2 linked regions of the Pelodiscus sinensis genome follow. The protein of the gene in region 1 interacts with the protein of each later gene in a pairwise test. Links are inferred from orthologs where the notes say so. Each region holds a gene or a part of one and is shown in the gene's direction. Other genes may lie near its edges.

The links.
Region 2: the proteins of SSX2IP (region 1) and SHFL interact in binary tests that used the Homo sapiens proteins (3 or more experiments, as listed by UniProt). The two-hybrid records come from large-scale screens. The link is inferred for Pelodiscus sinensis from reciprocal best matches to the Homo sapiens genes SSX2IP and SHFL.

Annotation. Positions count from the first base shown.
Region 1 is NC_134719.1:29,850,363-29,860,553, reverse strand, and holds the start of SSX2IP (afadin- and alpha-actinin-binding protein), read left to right. Parts: upstream 1-6,340; 5' UTR 6,341-6,498; intron 6,499-10,191. UniProt on the Homo sapiens protein: Belongs to an adhesion system, which plays a role in the organization of homotypic, interneuronal and heterotypic cell-cell adherens junctions (AJs).
Region 2 is NC_134729.1:14,961,895-14,971,444, forward strand, and holds the start of SHFL (shiftless antiviral inhibitor of ribosomal frameshifting protein), read left to right. Parts: upstream 1-5,794; 5' UTR 5,795-6,103; coding exon 6,104-6,130; intron 6,131-7,500; coding exon 7,501-7,642; intron 7,643-7,740; coding exon 7,741-7,790; intron 7,791-7,991; coding exon 7,992-8,036; intron 8,037-8,218; coding exon 8,219-8,257; intron 8,258-9,550.

The DNA of each region.
Region 1 (10,191 bases):
TCCTGACTGTGGAGCCTCACCCTGCCTTCTCTGAATAAATCATCTCCAGCATTGTGCAGATCGTTGCTAAAAATGCAAATGTATAAAAGAAGCATGTTGCCTTCCTCACATTAGAAACACAGAAAAATAATCAGTTTGCTAAACTCAGAGAATAACCCCTAATGTAAAGAGGACGTTGCCAACAAAGTAGCATAAGCTACTCCATGTTAACCTTTTCAGTTGTACTGCATGATGTTGCTTTCACATCTTTGATACTAAAGTGTTCCTAGTGGTATGATTAATCCTGTACACCACATATTAAGTTTATTTTTTTCCTCTCAAAATTCACTCCTGCAGTACCCACCTGTGCTCTTGTAAACTAGTTTTTGACTGGTTAGATTCCTCCCCATCAAATGATTTCTATGTTTTGTTTTGTTTTTGTTTTGTTTTTGCTTTTTGAGTCAGTGACAATTTGTGTTGGATTCTTGGACAGAAATACTTTCCCCAAAAGCCATACATAAAGAGGGTACTGAACACAGTCAATATAGGTTAAGGGTAGAAGAAACATTGCCAAAGACAGTTTAAGAGTAACTAGAAATGAAGATATCTGAAAAAAGAAAAGTTGGGTGTGTTAAAAAGAGAGAGAAAATTATATGTTTCTTCACCGAATTAGTGTCTAGTTTTGGTCATCTCAACTTCAGAAAACTAGTGCAGAATCATGAAAAATATATCAAAGATTATTAGAGGCTATCACAAGATTTATGTAAAATAAAGTATAAAAATGAGGATTATTCAACCTGGAAAGAATTCAAGAGAAGATAAATGAAGTATTTAAAATAAGGGCCATATTACTGATTAGTTCCTCTTGTTCTCTGCTCAAAAGTATGAGAACAAGAGACTTCAAATGAAATTAAAGATCAGCAAATTTAGTATAAATAAAATTAAGAACTGAGATATTACTGAATGCACATGGTATAGAATTCAAAGTTCTTAGATATCAAAAGAATTATCTTACAAAATATCTTTGATAGATTAAGTCCTTCTCAAATACTGTGGGTTGAGTTCTATAATTATCAGCATTTTAGTTTTGCAAGCTATGACAACAAAGGTAACCAAAATGTGCTTCAGGATACAAGATATAAAATGAAGCCTGGAAGGAATGCCTTTCTCTGCTATGTACAGCACTGCACAGCTGGTAAGATACATTTTAGGTAAATTACAGCTTCTTCTGACATAGTAGGGTCCCAGCTGCAAGCAGGATACTAGAATAGCTGGACCAATGATCTGATTTGGGAATGCTTGTTTTTATAACCAAATTGCTGAAATAACTCTTAAGAGACGAGAGGATAGCTATCACTATTGTACTTAAACAGAAGCGTAAATTAAAAAAATATATATTTGGTATTACATTAGATTAGGACAGTGTTAAAGAAGATAAAATTTTGGGTCAATCACATTTAGGTCAGGTGTGGACAAAGAACAACTTGTGAACCATATGTAGCCTGCAAGTATATTGGTAACATAGGATTGAATGATAGTACATGGGAATAGAAAAAGTGTCTTTGATTTGAACTCTCTCCTATTGTATTGATTGCATAGTCATTCTAGATTAGTCAAGAACAAATCATGCCAAATCAACCTAATTTCCTTCCTTTCCTTCCTTCATTTACAGGCCTAATGGAAGATGTAGATATGATATATTTTGATTGTAGTGAGGTTTGACTTAGTTCCACGACATTTGCATAAGTAAACTTGAAAAATGTGGTCTAGATGAAATTACTATAAAGTGGACAAAAAACTGGTTGAAAGACCACACTCAAAAAATATTAATGGTTTGCTGATGTACTGAGTGCAGATAGATAATGGGTTCCTGCAAGCATCTGTCCCTGGTCCAGCATTATTCAATATATTTCATTAATGGCATAGATAATAGAGTGGACAGTATCTTCATAAAATTTGCAGATGACACTTAGGCTATGTCTACACCGTACCTGTTTTGCGGAAGAGGAAATGCAAATGGGGTGCTCATTTGCATATCTCATGATCTCATTTGCATATTCTCTGCAGATCCTTTTTGCAGAAGAGGTTTTTGTGATAAAAAGCCCTGTGTAGACAGGGCCATTTGTTTGGGGGGGGGGGAGGGGGGGAAACCCTTTTGCACAAGAGCCTGTATACCTCATTTTTTGAGGAATAAGGGCTTGTGCACAAAAGGGTTTTTTCCCCCCCGACAAATGGCCCCGTCTACACAGGGCTTTTTATTGCAAAAACCTCTTCCGCAAAAAGGATCAGAAGAGGATATGCAAATGAGCACAAGATATGCAAATGAGCACTCAATTTGCATTCTCTGTTCCGCAAAAAATGCACAGTGTAGACATAGCCTCAGAGTGAGAGGAGGTGCTAGGATTTTTGAAGACAGGATTAGAAGAATTGGCCTGAAATCACATGATGAAATTCAATAAGACAAGTGCAAAATACTTAGGAAAAATTAAATGCAGGAATGAGGAATAACTGTGTTGGTGGTAATACTGCTGAAATGAATTGGTAGGTTATTGACAGGATCACAACCTGCATATGAGTCAATAACATGTTGCAGGTGAGAAAAAGTCTAATATTCTTCTATAGTATTAACAACAGTGTCTTCTTTTTACTATATATTTTAGAAAAGCTGTTAGTTCAAGAACTCCTTCTAAACGGTAAGAGCTAGGACCACCAATTTTGGTGTGCAGCTTCCTCTTATCATAACTTAAAGAAAAAGGTAAGGATTCGTTTGTGAAAAAACAATGGGAAGAGCCTGGAATTTGATTGTTTCTCATAAAATGGAACAAGAGGTGTCTAGTAGGAGGGAGCTATACCACGGACAGGGGCAACAAGGGGCCAGAGATGGGGACCGGGACAGCTATAACCCCATTGAGCCAGCAGGGTGGAAGGTGGCGAAAGGGACAGCTAGCTACTATATCAGGGGTCAGCAACCTTTCAGAGGTGAAGTGCTGAGATTTGACTTATTCACCTCTATGTACGGTCCGAGTGCTGGTGATACTTTTTTAAGTCATTGATAGTGCTACTTGTAGCAGTTTCATTAATAAAGAAAGATACAGATCTTACCTTTTAGTGCTGGGATTGGCAACCTTTCAGAAGCGGTGTATCAAAATTTAGCTTATTCACAGATCTGTGTGCCCGGGAGGGGGGGAGGCTGGGTACAGTGACTATATTTTCTGAACCAGTTGCAGCTAGGGAGAATGAAATTATGAAACAATTAAGCATTTTAACTTTCTCATATTAAGCTTATCAAACTTCATTTTAAATAAAGTAAAATATTATGTCCAACACAAAAGGTTTCTATGTTTTCTTTATTTATGGCGGGAGTGGGGAACCATTTTTGGGTCAGGGGTTACTGACCCACAGAAAAATCAGTTGGGGACCACACAAATGAGAAGCAAAAAAAAACCTCCTTCAAAACCCCCCAACCCTCACTGATGTGGCCCCCAACTGAGACACCTCACTGGCTAGTGCCCCAGCCTCACGGGGCGAGGGGAAGGGAAGGGATAGGGGGACTGAGATTCAGGGCTTCCCATAGACCAGATTTACTTTTCGGTGGTTCTGGAGTTAGTGGATTTTAGGGACCCCCTTAGACTCTGGGGTAAAGACAAAAATGAGAGGTACAGTGTATGAGACAGGGCTACCAGCAAGTAGGATAGGGATGGGTGCAGGATCTGGGAGGTAGGGTACAGAAGGTGGAGAGGTTGCAAGGTCTGAGTGGGAGGTAGGGTACAGAAGCAGGCTGGGAGTAGGGTGTCTGGCCAGGTGGAGGGAGCAGGAACAAGGGAGGGTGCAGCAGCAACGGTGGGTGCAGCAGCAACAGGGTGGGAGTGCCTGCCCAGGAGGGAGGGTGCAGGAACAAGGGAGGGAGTCGGAACAACTCAGGGGTACAGCGTTTTGAGGGGAGTGAGTGTGGGTGGGGTCTGGGCATGAGGGGACCCCTTACCCGGCTTTGCACCTCCGTGCAGCAATGGCTGTGGCCATACTATCCCAGGCCACTCCGAAGGAAGGCCCGGCTGTCACTGCCAGGGCCCATGTGGTGCAGGGCCAACCCCAGAGGCCCTATTGTTGTGGCCACATGGTCTGGGGCTGGCTCCAGAGACCCTGCTGCTGTGGCCACATGGTTTGGGGCCGGCCCCAGAGGCCGGAGGCGCTGCTTCCATACAATTCTGGATTGACCCTGGACCGCATGGCCACAACAGAAGCACCTCTGGTTCTGGCTGAGGGGCCACTGAGGAGCCTCAGCCCTGCTTCCTCCCACTGCAGCATAACCTGCTGCAGGCAGAAGGGAGTGTTCGCCAGTGGCTGTGCTGGGCTGGGGGAGGCTGAGCTTCCTCCTCTGTGCTGCTGCTGAAAATTGGCTTGCAAGCCATAAATGGCACACGTGCTGTAGGTTGCCGACCCCTGTACTATATCTATCTAATCTATCTATCTCATAGAGCTTGTCTGTGTTTCTATTTGTCTGTCCCCCAGCCAGTGGACATGGATCCATCCTCCAACTTTGTCTGCTGCAGCTGCAGGGGCCACGGACAAATGCTTCTCACTTGGCTGCAAGTTGCTGTGGTGACGGAGGGCTGGGATCGTCCTCTCTCCCCAGGGCAGCCAGCATACTGAACCCTTCATCCCCCAGCCCACTCCCAATAGCAATTTAAATGAAGAGCAAAACTCACTTAAGGACCCAAACAATGCTGGGTAAATCTTCTAGTATGTAAGATATGGAACATAAGTGTTCCACTGTATTTGGCACTGATGAGCAGGGATGATGTGTGAAGGGGGATAAGAGGATATGTGACCCTCAAAATATCCTGGACAGTAGGGGCAAGGGGCCAGTGCCTTTGATCAGCCTGGGAAACTAGCAAAGTTAGTACACCATCATTTAGGGCTAGGTGTTCCTTGCACGGTATCACGCATACACCACCTGCAGGCTGGTAATCAATCATACATTGGGTGTAATAAACTGATTAGCACTCAACTCTTTTTATGCCTTGATTTTTTAAAATAAGGGTTTTTATTTTATTTCTAAAAAGCTTAAGTATTAAGTAGATCTAGCCCTTATCAAACTCTGCCTCTACTACCCCTTAGGAAACAAAGGGCGGGCTCTCTTTTGATTAGAGTATCAGGCAGTGCTTTTGAGATCTCATGAGCCTTTTGTTATCTTAATCACCTTTGCCTCTTTATAAACAAACTCCCTGCAGCAAAGGCTGTGGCTGCTCTCACCTGCCTTTTAGAAGTCACACTCAGGGTTGCCAGGTGTCTGATTTTTAACTGGACAATCCAGTATTTGAGCTTTCTGTTCAGGAAACAAATTGGCTGTGTCTACACTGGGCCACTTATTCTGGAAAATCAGCCGCTTTTCCAGAATAAGCTGCGAGCTGTCTACACTGGCCCTTGAATTTCCGGAAAAGCAACGATGCTCTACTGTACAAAATCAGCCGCTATTCCGGAAAAACTATTCTGCTCCCGCTCGGGCATAAGTCCTTATTCCAGAACACTGTTCCGGAAAAGGGCCAGTGTAGACAGCCCAGTAGTCTTTTCTGGAAAAAAGCCCCGATCGCGAAAATGACGCTCGGGGCTCTTTTCCGGAAAAGCGCGTCTACATTGGCCACGGATGCTTTTCCGGAAAAAGGGCTTTTCCAGAAAAGCAGCCTGCCAATGTAGACGCTCCTTTTCCGGAAATACTTATAACGAAAACTATTCTGTTTTAAGCAGTTCCGGAAATTCATGCCAGTGTAGACACAGCCATTGAGAAAATATCCATGTCCGGTAGTTTCTAAATAAGATGTAAGGTAGATTGTGCCGTAATGTCAAGTGTGTCCGGTATTTCTGACTCTACCTGGCACCCGTAAGTGTTGCAGTTAAGGTCTCTCTGGGGGGTGGGGGGGAGGGACTAGGGGGAGCAGACCCGGGTTCGAAAGGCGGGGTACAGCGCCCCCTCCCTGGCTGGCGAAGCAACGTTTCTTTCCGCCCGAGGAGGGAGACCCGCACCTCCCCCTCCAGTCCCATTGAGCCCCCCCGCTTCCCCCAGCCTGGCGAAGCGGCCGTTGCCTCCCGCATCCGCCCGTTTGGCTACGCGGCGCAAGGCAGCAGCGGTTCCCGGTTGCTGACGAGCCGCTGCAGGGACAGCCGGGCCGCGCGCAGAAGCCCACGAGCCACTCGCGCAGCCCAGCCCCCTTCGCAGGCGTGTCCCGGCGCAAGTTCCCGAGCGGCCCCGGCCCGAGCGCCGCGAAGGGCCCCCAGGCGGCGGAGGAAGAGGAGGTGGGTGCTGCGGCTCTCTGGCCCCTGGGCACAGGCGCTTGTTGAAGGTGTCCTAGCAACAGCCCGGCCAATGGGAGCAGCGCCGTGCCGTGAGGGGGCGGGGCGATTAACCCTGCGGGGCCCGAGCAGGGCTGGACTGAGTGCGGCGGGGCTGCTGGGCTCGCTCGGGAGTCGACTGCCTCCCCCGCCCCCTCCACGGCGGCAGCAGCAGCAGGTGGTGCCATGCGGGTGAGTTGAGTCCGCGCCCGGCCCTGGGCTGCTCGAGTTGAGGCGTTGGGGCCTCTGCCTGGCGCCGTTCGCCTCGCTGAGCCGCCCGCCGCGCTAGGAGCCGCGGGGCTGCGAGCGGAGAACGGCGCTGGCGGGCGCACGCAGAGGGAGGGGGGACCCGGCACACACGGGCGGGGGGACTCGCGGGGGTGACTTCGATACACACGGGAGGAGACGTTTGGCCGGGGGGGGGGGGGACTTGCGCACAGGTGGGCGAGAGAATTGGGGGGGAACTTGAGCATACACGGGAGGACGGGGGTCGGGCACACTCGGAGGGGGAGTTGGCGGGGGGGACTCGCACACACGGGAGGGGGAGCTGGCGGGGGGGGACTCGCACACACACGGGAGGGGGAGCTGGCGGGGGGGGACTCGCGCACACACGGGAGGGGGAGCTGGCGGGGGGGGACTCGCGCACACACGGGAGGGGGAGCTGGCGGGGGGGGACTCGCGCACACACGGGAGGGGGAGCTGGCGGGGGGGGGACTCGCGCACACACGGGAGGGGGAGCTGGCGGGGGGGACTCGCGCACACACGGGAGGGGGAGCTGGCGGGGGGACTCGCGCACACACGGGAGGGGGAGCTGGCGGGGGGGACTCGCACACACACGGGAGGGGGAGCTGGCGGGGGGGACTCGCGCACACACGGGAGGGGGAGCTGGCGGGGGGGGACTCGCACACACACGGGAGGGGGAGCTGGCGCGGGGGGGACTCGCGCACACACACGGGAGGGGGAGCTGGCGGGGGGGGGACTCGCGCACACACGGGAGGGGGAACTGGTGGGGAGTAGGATGGAGGAATGTTTATGTAACTGCCATGGGTGTGTTACACTGACACACACCCAGGGGATGAGGTGATGGTGGGGGGGGGAGAGACTCTAACGCACACAGGGTGGAGTTGGGGAGGGACGGAAAGGGGAGACCCTAGCACATACCTGGGAGCAGTCAGAGGGGTGGAGGAATGTTTGTGCACGTGAGATGGGGGAAATGGGCATGGGGGGGGGACACTTGTGCATACCTGAGGGGGCAGTTGGTAGAGGGTCCATTTGCACAGACATGGGCACGGGTGCTGGAACAATGTATATATTGGGTGTGCTGAAAGCCAGTAACCAAACTGTAAACATATACATTGGAAAGCATTTCAAGCCAAGGGGTGTAAAAGCTTGCCTAGTTCCAGCACTTGTGCATACTGGAGGAACATGCAGTTGGGGTGGTGCTCTTACATGCACCTGCTGCTTGCCAGTTTTGGTTGGATGTATTCCTGGAGATTTCATCACATGACAATGTTTCATTAAAGATTTAATTCCTGGAGATTCCAGAACGCTCTTGGAGGAGCACATCCAGTATTCCCAGTGTTTTTTTCCCCATTCGTGTGTGGAATTAATGTTGCTCTATAGATGTGCACCACCATTAGCTACACATGCTGCTGGATGTGGACACTCTACTAATCAGTTGGGTGGCTCTGAATCTTTATTGGGTGGCCTTTTGGGGAACACTCTGCACATCATACACAAATGGCTGAGGGAATGCTTGTGCATATACTGGGGGAGGGGGAGGAATATCAGATGGCAGGGGTTAGGAGGACACAGAGAGAGAGAGAGAGAGCGCGAGCGGGAGTTGGAAGAAGCTCATGGGGATGCTTCTGTATGGGGGGAGGGTGGTATATAGCAAGGGGACACAGTCGTGTACCCACCGGTGATCGGGTTAGTAGATGGCAGGGGATGCTTGCACATTCACAGGGGGGAGTTGACAGACATTTGGGGTGATACACACTAAAGGGAGCAAATTGGCAGGCAGTAAGGGGAGGTGCTGAGGAGTTTGTGGGTGGTAGGAGGCACCCATGCATGCCCTAGGTGGAGCAAGGGAGTTTGAAGGTTGGGGGAGGTGCACATGTCCATGCTATGGGTGCAGTTTGTAGACAGTAGGAGAGTGGGAGGAACATGCATGTGCACATGGGGAGGAGGAATTTGCGGCAGGTGTGATTATGGGGAGATTGCAGGTTGTGGAGGCTTGGGAGGGATGAGCCTGCATACATTTGGGGGAAATTGCAGATGATTGTGATTGGGATGATGTTCACGTATACATACTGAGGGAGTTTGCAGAAGGTAGGTGCTGATGGAATTGCATACATATAGGAGAGATTGTAGGTAGTGAGGGTTAGAGATATGTGCCCGTGTACATTTGGGGGCAGGTGGTGGAAGCAGGGGAAAGTGGGTACATATATGGAAAAATTATAGATGGTGATGGGGACATGCATGCAAACAGCGAGATGTTTGCAATTGGTGCAGTTGCGCTTGTGCTCTTGGGGAATTTGCAGGTGGTTAGAGGGAGTTCATATGTGATGACAACTTGGGAGAAATGTGTGCATGGGGGAGGGGAATTTGCAGGCAGGAGGAATATGCCTACTCCTGCTGGGGCAGTGGGGATGCATGTGGAGTGAGGACACATGGAGAGAGTTTGCAGGCATTTGGGGGTTCATAGTCTGTGTAGGGGGAGGGTCCTTGTAAACTGTGTTCAAACGCAGTATTTTAATTACTTTGGGAATTAAGCTGTGTCTACACTTGAAAAAAATTGAGGCGTTAACCTCACCCCCTCTTTGCCCTGAAAGACACAAGTTTTTCTGGGACAAGTGTTCATGAGAATCTGCTAACACAGGGTGGTGGGACATGAGAACTGATCCACGCAAGTGAGAAGCAAGAAAAAAAGAAAAGCAATCCCCCTCCCCCCCCCCAAAAAAAAACCAAAACAAAGCAAAAAAAACCCGGCAACCCTCATTGACCTGGCCCATCTGGGAAGCAGGAAAAAATATACTCCCTTCACTCTTAGCCGCAGCCCACGGGAAGGAGTGGGGGAGGTGCCAGGACTGGATTAATTCTTCTGGCGTTCCTGGGCTAGTGGATTCTGTAAGCCCACCTACCCCCAGGCTCTGGGTGGGGCCAAAAATTAGGGATTCAGTGTGCAGGAGGAGGCTACCAAGGAGTGGTGGTGTGGGTGCAGGGTCTAGGAGGGAGGGTGCAGGAATGGGCTGGGGGTAGGGTTGCAGGGTCTAGATGGGAAGGGTTGCAGGAACAGGGTGAGGGGTATGGGGTCTTGGAGGAAGGATGCAGGAACAGGCTGGGGGTTCATGGTCTGGGCGCGGCGCGGCGGGGGGGGGGGGGAAGGGATGTGGATGTCTACATGTTGCAGCTCCTAGGGTGGGTGAAAAGGGGTCTGTGTGGCTCTGTGCATTGCAGGCAGTGCTTTCCTGCAGCATGCAGAGCTGCTTCCTTGTCTCTGCCCGGCAGAGCCCACAGGCCCAATCCAGCCTGTGGCTTGCTTTGATTGGGCCTGCTCCCCTCTCCCTTCTGCAACACAGGCTGGTCAGCGCTGGAACGCCAGCTATATCTGTGCTTTAAACTTTTAAGTGTAGACAAAGCCTAAGTGCTGCATGCCCAACTTCTATATCCCTCTCTGTCAGTCTCATTTGGAAGCATGGTGGAGTGGTAAAGACACATTCTGTTGTGTGCAATTTCTCAAGAGCAACATTTTGTTGATGCTTTAGGATTCAAACGACATCTACTGTCAGTGAACATCTTGTAAATCTTAATGTGCCCTTCCTGTCAGATTGAGGGTAATCTGTAGAGAAGAGATTGAGGATAATCTGTAGAGAAGATGCTATA
Region 2 (9,550 bases), on another chromosome or scaffold:
GCGCATCCTGGGCCCCCTGCACGGCCCCTGCGCATCCTGGGCCCCCTGCACGGCCCCTGCGCATCCTGGGCCCCCCCTGCACGGCCCCTGCGCATCCTGGGCCCCCTGCACGGCCCCTGCGCATCCTGGGCCCCCTGCACGGCCCCTGCGCATCCTGGGCCCCCTGCACGGCCCCTGCGCATCCTGGGCCCCCCCTGCACGGCCCCTGCGCATCCTGGGCCCCCTGCACGGCCCCTGCGCATCCTGGGCCTCCTGCACGGCCCCTGCGCATCCTGGGCCCCCTGCACGGCCCCTGCGCATCCTGGGCCCCCCCTGCACGGCCCCTGCGCATCCTGGGCCCCCCTGCACGGCCCCTGCGCACCCTGGGCCCCCTGCACGGCCCCTGCGCATCCTGGGCCCCCCCTGCACGGCCCCTGCGCATCCTGGGCCCCCCTGCACGGCCCCTGCGCATCCTGGGCCCCCCCTGCACGGCCCCTGCGCATCCTGGGCCCCCCCTGCACGGCCCCTGCGCATCCTGGGCCCCCCTGCACGGCCCCTGCGCACCCTGGGCCCCCTGCACGGCCCCTGCGCATCCTGGGCCCCCCCTGCACGGCCCCTGCGCATCCTGGGCCCCCTGCACGGCCCCTGCGCATCCTGGGCCCCCCTGCACGGCCCTGCACACCCTGGGCCCCCTGCACGGCCCTGCGCATCCTGGGCCCCCTGCACGGCCCCCTGCACACCCTGGGCCCCCCTGCACGGCCCCTGCGCATCCTGGGCCCCCTGCACGGCCCTGCACACCCTGGGCCCCCTGCACGGCCCCTGCGCATCCTGGGCCCCCTGCACGGCCCCTGCGCATCCTGGGCCCCCTGCACGGCCCCTGCGCATCCTGGGCCCCCCCTGCACGGCCCCTGCACATCCTGGGCCCCCTGCAACGGCCCCTGCGCATCCTGGGCCCCCCCCTGCACGGCCCCTGCGCATCCTGGGCCCCCTGCACGGCCCCTGCGCATCCTGGGCCCCCCCTGCACGGCCCCTGCGCATCCTGGGCCCCCTGCACGGCCCCTGCGCATCCTGGGCCTCCTGCACGGCCCCTGCGCATCCTGGGCCCCCTGCACGGCCCCTGCGCATCCTGGGCCCCCCTGCACGGCCCCTGCGCATCCTGGGCCTCCTGCACGGCCCCTGCGCATCCTGGGCCCCCCCTGCACGGCCCCTGCGCATCCTGGGCCCCCCCTGCACGGCCCCTGCACATCCTGGGCCCCCCCTGCACGGCCCCTGCGCATCCTGGGCCCCCTGCACGGCCCCTGCGCATCCTGGGCCCCCCCTGCACAGCCCCTGCGCATCCTGGGCCCCCTGCACGGCCCCTGCGCATCCTGGGCCCCCTGCACGGCCCCTGCGCATCCTGGGCCCCCTGCACGGCCCCTGCGCATCCTGGGCCCCCTGCACGGCCCCTGCGCATCCTGGGCCCCCCTGCACGGCCCCTGCGCATCCTGGGCCCCCCCCTGCACGGCCCCTGCGCATCCTGGGCCCCCTGCACGGCCCCTGCGCATCCTGGGCCCCCCCTGCACGGCCCCTGCGCATCCTGGGCCCCCTGCACGGCCCCTGCACATCCTGGGCCCCCCCTGCACGGCCCCTGCGCATCCTGGGCCCCCCTGCACGGCCCCTGCGCATCCTGGGCCCCCCCTGCACGGCCCCTGCGCATCCTGGGCCCCCCCCTGCACGGCCCCTGCGCATCCTGGGCCCCCCCTGCACGGCCCCTGCGCATCCTGGGCCCTCTGCATGGCCCCTGCACATCCTGGGCCCCCCCTGCACGGCCCCTGCGCATCCTGGGCCCCCTGCACGGCCCCTGCGCATCCTGGGCCCCCCCTGCACGGCCCCTGCGCATCCTGGGCCCCCCCTGCACGGCCCCTGCGCATCCTGGCCCCCTGCACGGCCCCTGCGCATCCTGGGCCCCCCCTGCACGGCCCCTGCGCATCCTGGGCCCCCTGCACGGCCCCTGCGCATCCTGGGCCCCCTGCACGGCCCCTGCACACCCTGGGCCCCCTGCACGGCCCCTGCGCATCCTGGGCCCCCCCTGCACGGCCCCTGCACATCCTGGGCCCCCCCTGCACGGCCCCTGCGCATCCTGGGCCCCCCCTGCACGGCCCCTGCACATCCTGGGCCCCCCCTGCACGGCCCCTGCGCATCCTGGGCCCCCTGCACGGCCCCCTGCGCATCCTGGGCCCCCCCTGCACGGCCCCTGCGCATCCTGAGCCCCCCTGCACGGCCCCTGCGCCCAGACCACCCTGGGGCCCCCCTGCACGGCCCCTGCACATCCTGGGCCCCCCCTGCACAGCCCCTGCGCATCCTGAGCCCCCCTGCACGGCCCCTGCGCATCCTGGGCCCCCTGCACGGCCCCTGCGCATCCTGGGCCCCCCCTGCACGGCCCCTGCGCATCCTGGGCCCCCCCTGCACGGCCCCTGCGCATCCTGGGCCCCCTGCACGGCCCCCTGCGCATCCTGGGCCCCCCTGCACGGCCCCTGCGCATCCTGGGCCCCCTGCACGGCCCCTGCGCATCCTGGGCCCCCCCTGCACGGCCCCTGCGCATCCTGGGCCCCCCCCTGCACGGCCCCTGCGCATCCTGGGCCCCCCCTGCACAGCCCCTGCGCATCCTGAGCCCCCCTGCACGGCCCCTGCGCATCCTGGGCCCCCTGCACGGCCCCTGCGCATCCTGAGCCCCCCTGCACGGCCCCTGTGCCCAGACCACCCTGGGCCCCCTGCACATCCTGGGCCCCCCCTGCACGGCCCCTGAGCATCCTGAGCCCCCCCTGCACGGCCCCTGCGCATCCTGGGCCCCCCCTGCACGGCCCCTGCACATCCTGGGCCCCCCCTGCACGGCCCCTGCACATCCTGGGCCCCCCCTGCATGGCCCCTGCACATCCTGGGCCCCCCTGCACGGCCCCTGTGCCCAGACCACCCTGGGCGCCCTGCACGGCCCCTGTGCCCAGACCACCCTGGGCCCCCTGCACATCCTGGGCCCCCCCCTGCACAGCCCCTGCGCATCCTGAGCCCCCTTGGTCAGCCAGTCCCCGGACAGGGATGGCTCCCAGACTCACTCACACCACAGGGAAGACGGATAGACACAGAGACAAGACAGTCCTCAGTCCGGACAAAACATAGAAATAATTACCTGACCAGAGTCCTGATGTTAGATCCCGGGATCCCTACCAGAACAGAGCGGGAACCAACAGGTTCGATGGCGTAGACTTCGCTGTGGCTGTGTACCTTTCCGTTCTGGCGGAGGACCGCTCCGGCCAAATGCCCAGGTGCCGGCTCCCACGGTCATCCTGCAAGACGGTCAGGGATCACACAGCCTCAGCGAAGACGGTTGCCATCTCGGTAGAACCTCCAAATTGTCAAAGTCAGACAGGACTCACAGATTTGGCAGACTGCTCTGTTTATTTCAGCAAAGCTCTGCTAAAATGCATTCAGAAAATGTGAGCACCATACAAGGTTCAAACCCCTTGATTTTATACAGTCAAAAGGCCAAGTTAACAAGATCAAAGGGTGACAAAACTTCACATTATTAGTGTGGTTAAGTATCTTCATTTCAATATCAAGCACACAGCAATCTCCTGGCTATATCTCCCTGATTATCTGGAATTGCTTTCTGTCTAACACCTAATGTTCCTTTTCCTGTTAAACTCAGGCCCAAATTGGCTAGCACCTTGATCTGCATACCTACAATCAACATTAACATACTTTTCTTCTTCCTCTTGAAAGACAAACAGAATTCCTTCAACTTATTCAATTATTACAGTACAATTCATCTTTCTCTTACAGTATAATTCTTTCTACTTTCACACACGCTTCAAATATGCCTTCTGGGCCGGCGTTGCTGAGGGTGCAGAGGGAGTTGGCTGATGTGGAGCCATTGGCCATTAGCTTTGAAAACTCGTGGCAATCAAGGGAATCCCTGGGAAACTGGAGAAAGGCCAATGCAGAGCCCATCTTTATAAGAGGGAAGGAAGAGAATCCAGGGAACTACAGACCAGTCAGTCTCACCTCAGTCCCTGGGGAAATCATGGAGCAAGTTCTCAAGTTCAGCAGAAAAGGATCTGGGGAGGAGAGTGGAGGAGACACTGGATGTGAGTCAACAGGGTCCCTTGTAGCCGAGAAGGCTAACGCACATTGGGCTGGGTTAGGAGCATTGCCAGCCAATCTAGAGAAGTGATGAGTCCCCTTGATTTGGCTCTGGGGAAGCCACAGCTGGCGTGTTGCAGTTCTGGGCCCCCCACTACAGGAAGGATGCGGGCACATTGGAGAGAGCCAGAGAAGGGCAACCAAACTGCTGAGGAGCTGGAGCACATGGGCTAGGCTACGTCTACACTGCAGGATTCTTATTCAAAGAAAGAGGAGCAAGTCTTGTGCAAAAAGCCCCGTGTTCTTACGATTTACGGTACTTTTTTTGCACAAGAACGCACTTGTAGTGTGGACGTGCCGCAAGTTTTTGTGCAAAAACTCACCAGTGTAGACACAGCCTTAGAGCTGAGGCTGAGGGATTTGGGCTTATTGAGTCTGCCAAAGAGAAGAGTGAGGGGGGATTTGAGAGCAGCCTCCAGCTACCTGAAGGGGGGTCCCACAGAGGCTGGCGAGGGGCTGTCCTCAGTGGGGGCAGATGACAACAAGGAGCAATGGGCTCAAGTTGCAACGGGGGAGGTCTAGGTGGCTATTAGGAGATATTGTCTAGGAAGGCGGTAAAGCACTGGAATGGGTTGATGAGGGACATGGTGGAATCTCCATCCCTAGAGGTTTTTAATGCCCGACTTGACAAAGCCCTGGCTGGGACAATTTAGTTGGGGTTGACTCTGCTTTGAGCAGGGTGTTGGACTAAATGACCTTCTAAGGTCTCTTCCAACCCTGTTCTTCTACCTTGTGTCCTTTTGCTTCCTTTATCAATGTTTTACACTTGCTAACTTCTAATATCTATCTGTTACTCTAAACTTCTCCTTACTCCCATTTGTTATATATGATTCTTCATAGCCACTTTCACTACCCCTTAAGTTAGGGGTGGGGTTTGGTTGGTTTTGAACCAGTGTGACTTTCTGTCTTGACTCAATTTTTGGACATCTAGTAAAATGCTCTTAAGATGTTCCCAATTTTTCCATGTAAACCCTTTCTCCCAGTGAACTGGGTTCAGGGTGTTTTTTCCGGCTGAGTGGAACTGGGCCTTACTTGGCACAGAGGCGATCTTCTCTGCTCTGGACTTTATTCTGTTTGCATCTAACAAACACGTCCGTTAATCTGACCGGCTCCACTCGACCTCGGCCAGTCAGAATGGGAACCAAAGGCCAGCGCCCCAGCTGCTACCAAGCGCCCCAGCTCCATCAGGAGCAACACCCTTTCTGGGCCGGGCCTTCCTGCCAAGGCGCAGGAACAAGGAACCCGGCTCCGCAGGGGCTGCGTGTGGATGTCAGGGACACAGCCCCCGCCTGGCACAAAGAGGTGCCGCCCCTCGACGCCTCTGCACCCCTTTACACCAGCTGGGACCTGGCCAGCTGCATGGAGCCCTGTGGGCTGGGGGCTGGGGGCTCCCTGCGCCTGGCCTGCTTGCCAATAAGGCCGAAGCCCTTTGCAGTGAGGGCGCCGAGGCCTGGGGCGATGGGCCCGGCGGGAGAAGGGCCGGGCACTAGGGACTGGGGCTGCCCCTCCAGCGCCCAAAGAACCGGGGAGCTGGCTGGTCTGAGAACACTGCAGGGCGACCCAGGGCCAAACCGCTCCGCCCGGGCCCCTGCCCCTGCCCCTGCCCCTGTCCCCGTGGGGCGCAGCTCTGGGCTCGAGGCAGCTGATCACGGGGCAGACCCCAGGGCCCTGCGCTGACGGACCCCGGACGGGAGGTGCTGGCGGAGCAGGGAGGGACCTGGCCGCCCTGCTCCCTGCCGAGGGAGCCCCGCCCGCTGGGACGGGGCAGGGGCCGGAGCCTCCCCAGGTGCGTCCCCGCCCCGCGCCCTCCCCGGTCCCCTCGGGCCAGGGGCGCCCGGAGCTCGCTGCGCCCCGGGGGAGGAGCCGCCCGGCGGGCGAAAGCGAAAGCGGCCGGCGGGGCGGAGCGAGTCCGGGCGCAGGAGCCGACGCAGGGCGGGCGCCGGGGGCCATGGAGCACCGGAGAGCGGCGGTGGAGGTACGGGGCGGGGGGCGCCGCGGCAGAGGGGTGCGCCGGGGGGAGGGGCCATGGGGCAGAGGAGGGGGGCGGGGCGGGCGAGGGGAGGTTCCATGGGGCAGAGGAGGGGGGTGCTGAGACAGAGGAGGGGGCGGGGCGGGCGAGGGGAGGTTCCATGGGGCAGAGGAGGGGGGCGGGGCGGGCGAGGGGAGGTTCCATGGGGCAGAGGAGGGGGGTGCTGAGGCAGAGGAGGGGGGCGGGGCGGGCGAGGGGAGGTTCCATGGGGCAGAGGAGGGGGGTGCTGAGGCAGAGGAGGGGGGCGGGGCGGGCGAGGGGAGGTTCCATGGGGCAGAGGAGGGGGGTGCTGAGGCAGAGGAGGGGGGCGGGCGAGGGGAGGTTCCATGGGGCAGAGGGGGGTGCTGGGGCAGGGCCATGGGGCAGAGGAAGGGTGTGCCGGGGCGGGGCCATGGGGCAGATGGGGGGCAGCGCCAGGAGGGTAGGGACGAGCCCTGGAGCAGGACTTGGCTGCCCCACTTGCCTAGGGCATCGCCCCCCCCCCCCGCCTCTGCCAGGCCTAGAGCCGCCTGGGGCGCTGAGAGCCCAGCCGGGCGCATGGGCCCCACTGGTGAGCGGGTGGCCTGAGCAGCCAGCACTGGGCCAGGGCTCAAGGACTTTGGCCTCCTCCCTCCCTCCCTTCCCCGCCGGCCCCCCGGTGCTGGGAGCATGGGGGGGCGCTCGGCCCTGCTGGAGCCTCACGTGCCCGCCCGCCACGTCTTTGGACGGTCCCTGCCTGGGCCAGTGTGGGGCGCCCGCAGAGCTCCGGCTCTCTGGGGGAGTCCCCGGCTGGAGGGCGCCTGCCCCCCAGAATGGACCCGCGGGGCCGAGCTAAGAGCCCTGTGGGTCTGGCCCCCGGCCGTCCCAGCCAGGGGTTTGCGCAAGGCCCACTGGTTCCTGGCATGTGACGGAGCCGTTGTCCGGCTGGTGCTTCCGGGGCCCTCGGACTCTGGCCTGCGCTGGCCTGGGCAGGGAGCCTGTGACCACGGGCCCAGCCGGCAGAGCCAGCAGGCGCCTTGCGGATCCGCGGGGGGAGTCGTGAGCCCAGGCTGGCAGCCCGAGGGAGGTTTCAGGCCCCCCCATCCTGCTGGCATCTGCTCTGTCCTGCGGCATCTTTCCCGCCACATACCAGGGCAGGTGAGAGGTGGGAAGGGCCCAGAAACAGCCACCTCCCTGGGCCAGGCGGGGGGGCGGATGAACCCAGGCCCAGCCCCGGGGCCCCCCTTGTGCTCAGCAGACGGGCTCCTGGGCAGAGCCCCTCCCAGGGCTGAGCGGGGCCCTGCAGTGTCCCCGGGAGGCCGGGGGGGCCGGCTGTGTAAGGTGGGCTCGCCTGGCAGCTGGAGAAGAGCGTGCGGCGGCTGCGGGAGAAGTTCTATGGGCAGGTGAGCGTGGAGCAGGCCGTGCTGCTGATGGGTCGGTACTGCAACGACCACGCCATGGTCTGCAAGGTCATCGTGCTCTGCAGGGAGCAGCTGGAGGGTGAGTGCGGGCGCAGCCCGTGGGCCGGGGCGGGGGGCGAGATGCTGGGGCAGGCTGGGCGGAGAGGCTGGGGGTAACCAGGGTCTCTCCTGCCCTAGACATGGACCCTGAGGAGCGCCGGGCCCTGCAGCAGGACCCTGTGATGAAGGTAGGTCTCCGTTCTCAGCGGTGGGGGCATGGGGCTGTGCTGGGGGGCCCCAGCCGTCACCGTCACCGCCAGGCACGGCTCTGGGGTCCCTGCTCACGGCGGGAGGGCGGGTGTCTGCGCCTTGGGGTGCTGGGCTGCGGCTGGGTCACCCGGGTCTCGCTGAGCCTCCCTCTCCAGCCTGGTTCCTCTCGCTTCCCCTAGAGCGTGGTGGAGAAACTGAAGCAAGAAGAGGAGCAGCAGAAACAGGTGAGCGCGTCTGCCTGGGTACGTGTGCGTGGTCTGTGTCTGTCCCTGGCTGGAGGAGGGCGCCTGGCATTGGGGGAGGGGGTGCCCGCCTGTCCTGGCACGAGGTCCCAGCCCTGAGTGTCGTTATTCGTACACGTCTGGTTATTTGCATTCTCCTTTTATTGCTGTCCCTCCCTGTGCAGAAATCCAGCCAGGACTGTGAGAACGACCAGGACATCAAGGTGAGGGGGCCAGGCCCAAGGAGCGGAGCCTTAGCTCCCTGTTCCTGGCAGATCTTGCCCTCCGCAGCTCCCACAATGGCGAATAGAGACCCCCGGCCGAGCTCAGGGCCCCGTCGGGCTCGGCCCCCCCCCCCAGGACCCCAGCCAACATCAGGGCCCCGTCGGGTCGGGCCCCCCCCAGACCCCGGCTGAGCTCAGGGCCCCGTCTGGCCGGGCCCCCCCCAGACCCCGGCCGAGCTCAGGGCCCCGTCTGGCCGGGCCCCCCCCAGACCCCGGCCGAGCTCAGGGCCCCGTCTGGCCGGGCCCCCCCCAGACCCCGGCCGAGCTCAGGGCCCCGTCTGGCCGGGCCCCCCCCCAGACCCCGGCCGAGCTCAGGGCCCCGTCTGGCCGGGCCCCCCCCCAGACCCCGGCCGAGCTCAGGGCCCCGTCTGGCCGGGCCCCCCCCCCAGACCCCGGCCGAGCTCAGGGCCCCGTCTGGCCGGGCCCCCCCCCCAGACCCCAGCTGAGCTCAGGGCCCCGTCTGGCCGGGCCCCCCCCCCAGACCCCGGCCGAGCTCAGGGCCCCGTCTGGCCGGGCCCCCCCCCAGACCCCGGCCGAGCTCAGGGCCCCGTCTGGCCGGGCCCCCCCCCCAGACCCCGGCCGAGCTCAGGGCCCCGTCTGGCCGGGCCCCCCCCCAGACCCCGGCCGAGCTCAGGGCCCCGTCTGGCCGGGCCCCCCCCCCCAGACCCCGGCCGAGCTCAGGGCCCCGTCTGGCCGGGCCCCCCCCCAGACCCCAGCTGAGCTCAGGGCCCCGTCTGGCCGGGCCCCCCCCCCCAGACCCCGGCCGAGCTCAGGGCCCCGTCTGGCCGGGGCCCCCCCCAGACCCCGGCCGAGCTCAGGGCCCCGTCTGGCCGGGCCCCCCCCAGACCCCGGCCGAGCTCAGGGCCCCGTCTGGCCGGGCCCCCCCCAGAGCCCGGCCGAGCTCAGGGCCCCGTCTGGCCGGGCCCCCCCCCCAGACCCCGGCCGAGCTCAGAGCCTCGTCTGGCCGGGCCCCCCCCCCCCAGACCCCAGCCGAGCTCAGAGCCTCGTCTGGCCGGGCCCCCCCCCCCAGACCCCAGCTGAGCTCAGAGCCTCGTCGGGCCGGGCCCCCCCCCCCCCGGCCGAGCTCAGGGCCCCGTCTGGCCGGGCCCCCCCCCCAGACCCCGGCCGAGCTCAGGGCCCCGTCTGGCCGGGCCCCCCCCCAGACCCCGGCCGAGCTCAGGGCCTGTCGGGCCGGGCCCCCCCCCCCGGACCCCGGCCGAGCTCAGGGCCCCG